Macaca fascicularis: one gene and its partners. The protein of the gene in region 3 purifies or fractionates together with the protein of the main gene of each other region. This does not show direct contact. Links are inferred from orthologs where the notes say so. Each region holds a gene or a part of one and is shown on either strand. Other genes may lie near its edges.

The links. Proteins that work in one complex are often made in the same cells at the same time.
Region 1: the proteins of RAD1 (region 3) and HUS1B purify together in Homo sapiens (co-immunoprecipitation; 3 studies listed by BioGRID and IntAct, counting the BioPlex papers as one, with this or other methods). This does not show direct contact. The link is inferred for Macaca fascicularis from reciprocal best matches to the Homo sapiens genes RAD1 and HUS1B.
Region 2: the proteins of RAD1 (region 3) and FEN1 purify together in Homo sapiens (affinity purification with western blotting; 3 studies listed by BioGRID). This does not show direct contact. The link is inferred for Macaca fascicularis from reciprocal best matches to the Homo sapiens genes RAD1 and FEN1.

Annotation. Positions count from the first base shown.
Region 1 is NC_088378.1:172,426,062-172,429,193, reverse strand, and holds HUS1B (checkpoint protein HUS1B), read right to left. Parts: upstream 1,896-3,132; 5' UTR 1,696-1,895; coding exon 844-1,695; 3' UTR 532-843; downstream 1-531.
Region 2 is NC_088388.1:12,241,604-12,245,782, forward strand, and holds the start of FEN1 (flap endonuclease 1), read right to left. Parts: upstream 2,832-4,179; 5' UTR 2,713-2,831; intron 426-2,712; 5' UTR 405-425; coding exon 1-404. Other genes in the region: dolichyl-diphosphooligosaccharide--protein glycosyltransferase subunit TMEM258, read left to right, coding at 3,184-3,186. UniProt on the Homo sapiens protein: Structure-specific nuclease with 5'-flap endonuclease and 5'-3' exonuclease activities involved in DNA replication and repair.
Region 3 is NC_088380.1:35,205,552-35,209,115, forward strand, and holds part of RAD1 (cell cycle checkpoint protein RAD1), read right to left. Parts: intron 2,796-3,564; coding exon of another isoform or gene 2,637-2,795; exon of another isoform or gene 2,609-2,636; intron 2,431-2,608; exon of another isoform or gene 2,314-2,430; intron 1,872-2,313; 5' UTR 1,792-1,871; coding exon 1,594-1,791; intron 461-1,593; coding exon 352-460; intron 1-351. Other genes in the region: BRIX1 (ribosome biogenesis protein BRX1 homolog), read left to right, coding at 2,637-2,795. UniProt on the Homo sapiens protein: Component of the 9-1-1 cell-cycle checkpoint response complex that plays a major role in DNA repair. The 9-1-1 complex is recruited to DNA lesion upon damage by the RAD17-replication factor C (RFC) clamp loader complex.

The DNA of each region.
Region 1 (3,132 bases), on a different chromosome or scaffold from region 3:
GATGATGAGTAGCATTTTTTACCAATGAAGTATTTTAAAATTAAGATGTGTACTTTTTTAGACATAGTACTATTGTACTCTCAACAGACTACAGTGTAATGCAAACATAAGGTTTATATGTACTGAAAATCCAAAAACTCATCTGTCTTTATTGCAATATTTGCTTTTTGCAGTGGTGTGGAACCAAACTTGGAATATCTCTGAGATATGCCTATATTTCCTTGATTCCTAATGTGAGTATGATACATGTGAAAAATTGTGAAAAATGAATCTAATAAATAAGCAATTCAAACTATGTAGATAATAAATCTCAAAACCATGTATACTGATACATTCTTTGATATATCCTATGACAAAACACAGCTTAACAAAGAATATGTAATGCGCACACACGCTAAATACCTTTCATCTTGCAGATATATTCAGCTCTCTACATAAGAAATACCCTCGGAAAACATTTATGCATATTTTAAAATGAGAACTTTCCTGCTTTACACAGCAGCATTTTATAATAAAATACTGATGCAATTGTTTCAGGATTCAAAAATATTTATTTCATTACAACCCTGTTTTTCCCCCCGAAAAAAAGTTGAAGAATAATTTACTTGTTAGAATCTTAAGCAGGAAAAAAAACCTGACAAACCCAACAAACAAAAACATAAACTACCCAACTGTTTTATCAATGCTTTAATACAAATTTTGCAAAGGAGGAAGGGCTCCACAAAATATACGCCCTGTATAAGTCAGAGAAGGTGCAAACTTTCAACCCAATTAACTCAGGGTCTGTTTCAGTTTTGAAAAGATCATAAGCTTAAAAAAAACAAATCTACGCTGGCTGAATTTTTACAAAGCAGGAATGAAATACTGGAGAGAGACATCTCCTTGAACCAAAACAAGCTGAAGAAGACTATTGTCCCAAATATTGCATAAGGCCATCGTGGGATTTATTTGCTGTCCCTCCAAAAACTGCAGGAGCTTCCGATTATCTACCCGCACTTGCACCACGCTCTCCAGGTCTCTGTGTGGAGGCACACCAGCCGACTCCGGAGGGTTTCCAAGATTTTTAAAGTAACTTTTAATGGACACCACCTCCGTCTCCATACTCAGGGTCATCCTGCCCCTGAGGTTTGCTTCCACCAGCACGTGATCGCCCACGTTCGCCATCCTCTCCACGATGCTCCTCAGCGTCCTCCAGCGCGGCAGGTGGATGCTCGCGTCGGCGGCGCGCAGGCTGGGCGGCGGGCAGTCTCGCCACGCTCTCCGGGGAAGCACCTGCACGGGCAGATCGTGCACCACGCTGCGAGCGCGGCCCAGGGGCGAGGCCAGCGCCACCGCCACCGTGAGGCAGGGGCGGCGCCTGTGGGTCAGCTGCAGCTTCAGGGAGGACGCGCCCGCCGCGCTTCTCGCCGCCCTGGACAGGTGCTCCGCCGTCAGCTCCAGGTGGATCTCATCGAGCTCTTCCGAGACACCTTCCATGTGAAACTGCTGGAAGGCTCCCCGCCGCACCTCGCACCACAGCCCGGCCTCGCACCACAGCCCGGCCTCACGGAGGCCGCGGAAGCCCGCGGGGCCGAAGCACAGGCTGTCAGGGCGCACGCGGAGCACGCAGACCTTCGCCAGCCTGGCGACGGTGCCGCTGACGTGGATGAACAGCTCTAGACGGCCCTTGCCGGTGATCTTGGCGCGAAACTTCATGACGCCACAGCGAAGGCAACTCGGGGCCTCTGAGGGGAATGCCGCGTGCCACAAGTCCTTCCGGTCCGCTGGGGTCCCCGGCGCTGCCCTCCCCGCCCTCCCTCCGGGCCCCAGCAGGGCAGGCACTCGGGTTCCGGGCTCTGTTCTGGCTTCCGCAGCCCCAGGCCTGGAGCCGACGCCGGGCGGGCGCGCCAACGCCGTTCTCACCTGCCCGCCAGCCCTCTCACAAAACGCTTCCGTTTCCGCTCCGGTTATGAGAAGAGCAGGCATTCCACTGCTGACACTCCTCAGTATTCTCGCCACTATGAAGACAAAGTCATCACTCAGATAAATTAACCACTTTTAATCTCTATGGCATACACACTGATACCATCTTCATCAATCGTACATGAAGATATAGTTCCACGGGTCGTACGAAATAATAGCATACTAGGCACACATTTTACAACCTCATCTTCACACATTAAATATGTAACAGGCATCTCTCCATGTTGGTGAAACAAATCTACATCATTTTCATGGCTGCTCAGTTTTCCAATGTATAGAGTTAGAATACAAGTGGCATTGAGATGATTTCCAATTTTTTGCTATTATGAACACAATGAATATTTTTGTACAAAATAGTTTTGCCCATTTACTCAAGTATTTCCTTGCGTTAAATTCCGAAGTGAAGTGCTGGTCAATGAATGCACTTTTAAAATCCTAATAAATATTTTCAAACTGGTCTGCAGAAAGCTGCGTGAACACTCTAGCCCACCAGCAACACTGGATATTAGCAATCTGTTTCATCTGTGGCACTCTGGCAGGCAAAAAAAAAAAAAAAATTCAACTTGCACTGTGTGTGAATTCCATTTTATGGCCTTCGCATCTTTTTATTGAGTTTATTTTTCTTGATTTCAAGATATCTAGAAAGAACATTAACCCTCTGTCCATTACATGTACTGTAAATATCTTCCCCAGTTTATCATGTGACTTTTCACACTGTTTTTGGTACTCTTTGCTCTTGGGAAATATTGAATCTTTTTTTATGTCAAACCTATTGACCTCTTCTCTACTACTTCTAGGGTCATGCTTTCAAAGTCCTGTTTCTGGTACTTTAATGTTATCTGTTTTTATGACTTAGTTGTTTGACTCAGTTGAAATCTTGCAGTACCGAATACCTAGCTGATACACACAATTCACTAAACAATCCACTTCTCCACTAATCTGAAATGTCAATTTTATTTTAGACAAAAAATTCTCATTTTTGTCTCAATGTTTCCTGGCCCTCTCTATATTTTCTCCCACTGCCCTATCTTGCACCTGTACCAGTGATTTAATTTCCATATTATATTTCAATATCGAATAGGACAATCTTTCAGAACTTCTCTCATTCTCTCACAGATATTGCTCCAGAGGAACTCTAAAATATTTTGTCAGAGTCTAAAAATAATCTTC
Region 2 (4,179 bases), on a different chromosome or scaffold from region 3:
TTAGTGACCTTCACCAGTCGCTTAGTGAATTTTTCCACCTCCTGCTCGGCCCCAGCAGCCTGAGCCTGCTGCAGCTGCTTCTCTGCCTCAGCCCGCCGCTCACTGCGTTTCGCCAGCTCACCTGACTTGAGCTGTGGCGGCTTGCCATCAAAGACATACACGGGCTTGATGCCATTCTCCATCATGCGAATGGTGCGGTAGAACATGCCCATCAGGTGGCTGGTGGTCTCACCCTCCTCGTTCTGCAGCACATCCCCACCCTGACGAACAGCAATCAGGAACTGATAAATGCTCATAGAGGCATCAATGGCCACCTTACGGCCAAAGTAGCTCTTGATGTCATTCTCCCGGATGGCACTGGGGGCCACATCAGCAATTAGTTTGGCCAGGCCTTGAATTCCCATGGCAACACAGAGGAGGAATGACTAAAAAAGAAAGGCAAGTCAGAGACGGAGGAAAGGAGAAGGGTTATAATTGGTGTTATCTCACCAACTTCATGCCTTCAACTAAATTCCACACAACAAAAAGGACAAGTCAGCACTGCTAAAGACGAACAAGACAAAGTCCTCATTCTCAAAAAACTCAGTCTAGCAGAATTTACTCAATAGTAAGGCTTAATGAGTACCAGAAATAGAACCAGGTGCTTAGAGAAATAAGATATTGTTGATATTCTAAGGTAGCAGCATTATTTATTATACAAAAAAACCCTACAACATGGGTCTCTATCAAGGACCACAGAAGGCCAGGGTGCCCAGCCCAGCTTGAGGAGTCCAGGGACCATAATGGCAGACCTGAAAGGCAAATACCAGCTAAACAAATAGATCTGATTTGTTTTGAGTCTCTGGAGAACCCTGACTGATAAGGCAGTCTTGAAAAAGGATTGCAAACATATCTGAATGGAGGTGATGTGGCTTTCTCACAAGCTTCTCTAAACTCTCTTCATCATCGCCTCAGCACATAAGAGTTTCTACTTTTATTATGATGTTACTAGAGTTTCAAGTCTTTCCCTTTGCGTTTTCCCTCCACTACTCAGTCTGAAATGTTAACTCCATGGCTCCTCCCCAGGTCCTGATTTAGGGGTCTGGCATGCTATAGTCACTGGGCTCAAAAAAGTATTGCACTTCAGAGTTCAGTGTTTCCCAGATAGCAGTGTTTCCCAAATCACCCTCACGATTTTTGCCACTTCCAACTAAAACCTGTACTTTCATTCACTTAGAATTTTTTTTTAAAAACTAAACTGGAAAACTCATAAGCAATAATATTTGTGTTCTATTAGTTATATTTTAATATGTGTTAAATATATAACTATTAAAAAGGATTTTTAGGAGGTGCAATTTAAAATCATCTTGCCATCCTGGGCAACACGGTGAAACCCCCTCTCTACTAAAAATACAAAAAAAAAAAAAAATTAGCTGGGTGTTGTGGCGCACACCTGTAATCCCAGCTACTAGGGAGGCTGAAGCAGGAGAATCACTTGAACCCAGGGGGCACAGACTGCAGTGAGCCGAGATTGTGCCACTGCACTCCAGCCTAGTGACATAGTGAGACTCCGTCTCAAAAAATAAAAACTCATCCTGTACCCACTGGCGGTATGTGTCCAATACTCCAAGAAATATTCTACCAGGGCCAGGCAAAGAGGCGCTGGCCAGTAATCCCAGTACTTTGGGAGGCCATCATGGGAGAATCACATAAGCCTAGGAGTAACAAGCTGCAGTGAGCTATGATTGTGCCACCACACTCCAGCCTGGGCAACAGAGCAAGACCTTGTCAAGAAAAGAAGAAAAGACAAATCAAAACAAAAGAGAAAGAAGAAATGGAAGACTCCACCAGGACTTTTCATTGTTCCCATTCTTCCTTCACAGGGTTCTTTCTAGAGCATCAATGACTGTTCAATTCTTCCTTCTAATTCAGTCCAAACACTTCAGCATGGCGTCACGATCTTTCATGTTCTGGTTCCCAACCTAACCTTACATTCTGGGATCTCAACAGAAAGCTGGAATAAGGCCCGCCTTTTTCAACTTTTCCTTAGCTGTGCCCTCCTCTCGCCATCCTCTCACGCGTCCTTCCAGGTCCATCCCTGGATTATTAATCAATTAATAATTAATTGATAATGAATTATTCATTTGATTAATATGAATAATTCCCCTGTGAATTGCAACGGCGAAAGCTCTGGCCTTGAATCCAGGCGCGGCATTTTCCATCCGTGTGACATTACCAAGCCACTGAGGTTTATGAAGAACGATTACCATGATTGTCTCTCAGGGCTGCTACCAGGGTTAACTGAGACAACAGACGGAAACCCCTAATGTCCCCTCTCCAGGCCTGTTCAACCCTTCGGCTCTTGCGTCAAGCCGGCGGCCCTGCTGGAATGTTGACTGAGGACCAGGCCGTGTAGCCCTTGATCCCCTTGCGGCGTCCCACAGACAGGCAGGCAGGCAGGATAGGGGCTAAACAACTCAAGTGTCAGAACTCTTTCTCGTCCAAGGTCTTAGGAAAAATACAACACGACCCCATAAGGTGGAACTTATTACCGCCTTTCTACAATGGAGGAAAGAGAGGCTCGGAGCTTACGCGACTGGCCCACGGCTCACAGGGGGAAAAGTGGCCGGACCGCTTGACTGCATATCACGCGCACTCCACACCCCGGCTCCCCACGGCCCCAGCGCCAAGCGGACCCCGTCGCCCCCGGAGGCGCTTCCCATGGGGTCTCACCTGGCCTTTGAGACACGAGGCCTCGGCAGCTAAAGCTTTGTTCGGGGTTGGCCCGGGCAGGCGGTTCCTAAACCTGATCTCCCTCCTCAGCTTAGCGGCGGGTCGCCTGACGCTCAACCGCCTTCCAAAGCCCGCGCTCCCATCACGTGACCTGCCCGCCACGCACAGCCTCTTGGGGAGTGTAGTGCAGGCTGCGTCCCCTCAGACGGCTACTCTCATGGCAACCAGTCCCTCCAGGGAGAACAGAGTCTCTCAGCGACCGTGGCGTACTCTTCTCCACCGCTTGTCCCTACTCCACCCACACCAAGTCCCCGCAGGCCCCTGCTCCCGCTACACCCGAAATCGCAGGACTACAAGTCCCCCAATGCCACTTGCGCCGGAGGCACTTCCTTTTCCGGTTGTGCTAGGCGCCTGCTCCTGCGGACGTGTGCTTCCGGTGGCAGAGCGGCGGATTAGCCTGCGCGGGGCAAAATGGTGAGAGGGTTAAGGGGAGTTCCCGACGGAGATGCGAGGACCCCTCGGGGTCTGACCCACACCGCGCTTCTCTCCTCAGACGCCAGAGATCCAGAGGGCTAGACGCTCCTGGAAACTCCGTCTTGGGCTGAAGGGTGGGGAAGGGGGAAACCCCTTGTCATGAACTCCTTAGGAGTTCATGGTTTCTTAGGTTTCTGAGCTCGCGATTTGTAAGAATGAGAGGCGTGGGGCGTATTTTGAATACCTTCCAGTTTGTATCTGTTATCTGTGGTGTGTTATCTTTATCTGGAAAGTTCTTCTGCCGAACCCGTGCCCATGCTACAATGCCCTGGGCAAATGTTGTTTCTTGGTGAGGCACTTCCAACTCTGAGGCACTTGGCCAGACTCTCCTAGGAGCGCCCACAGCCTCTGTACACGTTCCATGGACTCCTTTGTTTGCGGCCGCGCCTCCTAGTGACCACCGTCTGACGCGCATCTAGCTCTGGGATGATGTCTATTCATCTTTGTGTTCCCAGTGCCAAACAGAGGGGCTGTAATTGGAAGCTCAATAAATGGCAGTGATTGTCTTTATCATTTTGGGGGAAGGGGGCCGTGATTGTTTACTGAATTGAATTCCAGTGTCTCAGAACAATGGGGGCAGTTTACTTCTCTAGAGTTGTTATGTTCTGGATTTTAGAAGCGTTGGCTGACGGGTGACAATGAAGTTAACATTTGTACAGATCTTTACGTTTACAGCCCTCTTTCATAGGCGTTATGTCATCATGTTCCCTACAACCTTAGGAAGGAAGCAAATACCTATGGAGCAAAATCCTCCCTGCCAGGCACTAGAGTTTTGATTCATCATCTTTCTTATACATCAGTCCTGTGAAATAGATAATACAATCACTTTACTCAGACTCAGATTACTCAGTAGAACCAGAACTTGAATGCCTTCCCTGTAGATCACAAGATTCCGTAATAGTATAGGTAGTGAGGAAAATACTGAATTAGAAA
Region 3 (3,564 bases):
TAACTAGCTGAGTAATTCTGGACAAGTTAGGGAAGAGAAGCAATTAAAACATTTCACAATGTTAAAGATATTAAAGACATGTCCAAAGTATTCTTTTGGCCAGTTCAAATTTAAAATCCCTCAAAGCCCTGTAAATTAAAAAAAGATGAATGTAAATACTTTTACAAATATGAAAGAACTATAAACATACTTGCAATTAACATTGTGAAATGTTAGAACCCATGACTGTGGCCACCGAAAAATGAATTGGCATTAGCTTTCTGAACAAATGTTTATATTCCAAATAACTTCCTGTATTTTTCTGACCACTGTATATAACACTTTTATGTCTTTATACTGATAATAGTTTACCTGGCATAGGACTTGATCCAAAAATAGACAAACAGTCTAAAAGGACAGTTAAATTAATTCGAAAAGTAACAGACTCTTCCTGAACTTTAAATTCCTGAAATATTCCAGCCTACGGAAAAAGTAAAAATGAAAATTGTTATGTAAAAGAATGAAAATATACAAGGTCCTAGATTTCACTTTATATGTTTAAAAAATACAATACTGTGCTAATCCCATGAGAATAATTTCTGATTAGCAATCAAAACATCTTAGAGACATCCTTTGAAGCATCCTTATATCCATTCCTGGATCTAAAAACTATCCCTCTGGGACTCTCCCTTATCTCGTTTTTGTGCGTATCACTACTGCTAAGGTCACTTGGAAAACAGACGGATGACTTGATAATGCATGAGCAATATTAGTTACAACTTTTATTATTATTTTTTATTGATTCGGGGGTCTCACTACGGTTACTCAGGCTGGTCTTTAATGCCTGAGTTCAAGCGATCTTCGTGCCTCAGCCTCAGTCTCCTGAGCAGCTGGAAATACAGGTGTGAGCCACTATACCATGTTGCCGCACGAGGACGAGAACCATGTCTTATTTACCTCTCTATCCCTGAGGTCATGCTGTGCACTTACGTGTTAAAAAAAATGCTTAGTTGAATTTGCAATCCTATCTGAACCACACAAATATTACTTTGGAAGAACAAAAATTCTATTACAACCAGTAAAGGGAAAAAAATACTCTTTAGTAACAGCAAGGTGGTAGTATCGCAGTGGTAAAAAGAGCAGATATTCTGGAAACAAATGTTCAGGGTTCTTATCCCAATTCAGCCACTTACCAGCTGTGGGACTGTTGGCAAATCACTTAAAATTGTGCCTCGTTTCCACATATATAAAACGGGAATAACAATAGAACCTGCCTTATAGGACTATTGTTAAAATTAAATAAGTTAAACACTAAGAAGACTGTAGCCTAGCCGATAGTCTAGTTTAATAAACTTTAGTCATTACTAACCATTATCTCTGTAAAACAAGATGGGAAAAGAATTTGTTACCGGGAGAGAAAAAAAAAATTCAAGTAATGACGTTTGTTCTCTAACGTAAGACTATTAAGTTATTTATCTATTATTTATTATGACTATTGACTATTAAGTTATTATGAGTATTAAGTTATTTATTATGTCTACTAAAACCTTCGGATTTCATTAAATTGCATTTAGAATATCTATGGCACAGGCTTAAAGGCGCCTACTTCCATACCTGAATAAAAGCATTTGCTTGCACACACTTTGCATTTTCCACTGTTACTTTGATACCATTTTTAGTTGCGAAACACGTGGCATGCTCTCGGAAATGAATAGCTTTCAAAATAGTGGAGAGATTCCTAACGTTGTCAAGGCTGGCCACAAGGCTGTACTGATCATCCTCATCTTGGATCTGCTGGGTCAGAAGGGGCATAGTCCACTGCGCATTCGGCCCGGAGGGAAATGCTCCTGGGGCCAACACCTGCTCGGCGAATCGCGAAACACCTGAAGGGACTGGACAATAAAACTCACATCAGTGCAGGCGAGGTCCGGCGAGCTCCACCTGCGCTGAGAGGTGGACGGGGGCTGGGCGGCTGAACTCAGCTGACCAGGCCGAACCCCACCTATGTCACTTAATTGTCTTTGTAATTTTGCGGGAAAATTAAGTTACTATTTCCTCGTCTCTGTAAGAGGACAATAACGTGAAAAGTTGTGAAGAATGAAGACACGCAACTGACACGGTATCTCCGCTTGGGGCCAGCTTCTCCCGGCCAAACAAACAGGAGCTATGAATCCGACCGCGGCACCAGCCTCGCTTCCAAGAGAACAGGCGATGGGGGGAGCGCCCAGAGTGTCCAGAAGATCCCCCAAGAGTCCCACACAAGCCCATTCACCAGCCCGCCCGCGGGACAGCATCGCTTATTAGTCTCGGGGTCCCCGAGTGCGGACACCCTACCTTTGCGGTGGGGTCTGGACGCCCGAGAGACCTTCCCAGGAAAGTCCCTGAGGAGGAGCTAGACAGCTCTGAGAAATCGCGTAGGAAGTGGAGCCGGTCCCGCCACTCTTCAGACCTGCCCTCCACTTCCGCCACCGTCACCACAGAGCTGAAGGAGGCCTAGAGAGCCGCGCGTGCAGCGCCACTGAGACCGGAAGGAGACACCGCAGACCTGGAGGACAACCGCGTAGCTGAGCGCTTAGAGCCACCGAACCATAGAGATCGGAAAGAGGAGCGAGAGGCAACGCCGGAAAACAGGCCAAGAGCGCAGGCAGTAAGGCAAGATGGCGGCAACCAAGAGGAAACGGCGTGGAGGCTTGGCAGTGCAGGCGAAGAAGCCAAAAAGAAACGAAAAAGATGCCGCGCCGCCAACTAAGCGGCACACCACCGCAGAGGAGGTGGAGGAAGAAGAGAGGGACCGGATCCCAGGCCCCGTTTGCAAGGTAGAAGGGGATGCCCCCGGGCTACACCGGCGGCGGCGGCTCTGTGCCCCTTTTCTTGGGTTACTTACTTGACTACAGCTCTGCTAATTTCAGAGTAGCCAGAGTGTTAACGGTAGGTCGATTTTAGCAATCCTCCCAGCCAGACTGGGCACCGAGTTTTCAGCTAATCCTTGTGCACGTGTCCGCCCTCCTGGAGGCGGCGGGTTTTAAAATCTTTACCCGGCCCACGGGAAAGCGACTTACAGGGTGCTCAGATCTAGCGTTTTGTCTTCGTAGTTGTTGAGTTGTTTTGTTTTGTTTTGTTTTTTAAATATTTTTGAAAAGTAGGGCTTTTCCTTGGCTATTTCTCGCTGTTGAGTATTTCTTCCAGTGATTAGTATGCCCATATACTGCCATAGTCAGCCACTCTCAGTCAGGGATCCTACAGTTTGTTAGGTGAGCCTTTAAAAAGTTGTTGCCCTTAGGACTGTGACTCTGATTTGTTAACCAGTTTTCAACTCAAGGGATAATGAAAAATAGGCTAGGTACTATGAGCTTTACTTGTATTCAACAGACATTGAATGTGCCATGCATTTTACCAAGTTAGGCATCCTTTGGGTTTGAGATTGCAAAGGTGACTAGCATGTGACCCCTTCCTCCTGAAATGTTGGAGTTTAGGAGGAAACTTAAGAATTCAAATAAGTTGATGGTTTTTATTCAAAAGAAGTGCACGTTAGTTGGAATTAGCTAGATTTCCTTCAACTGAGAACTCATCTTAAGCTAGACAGAA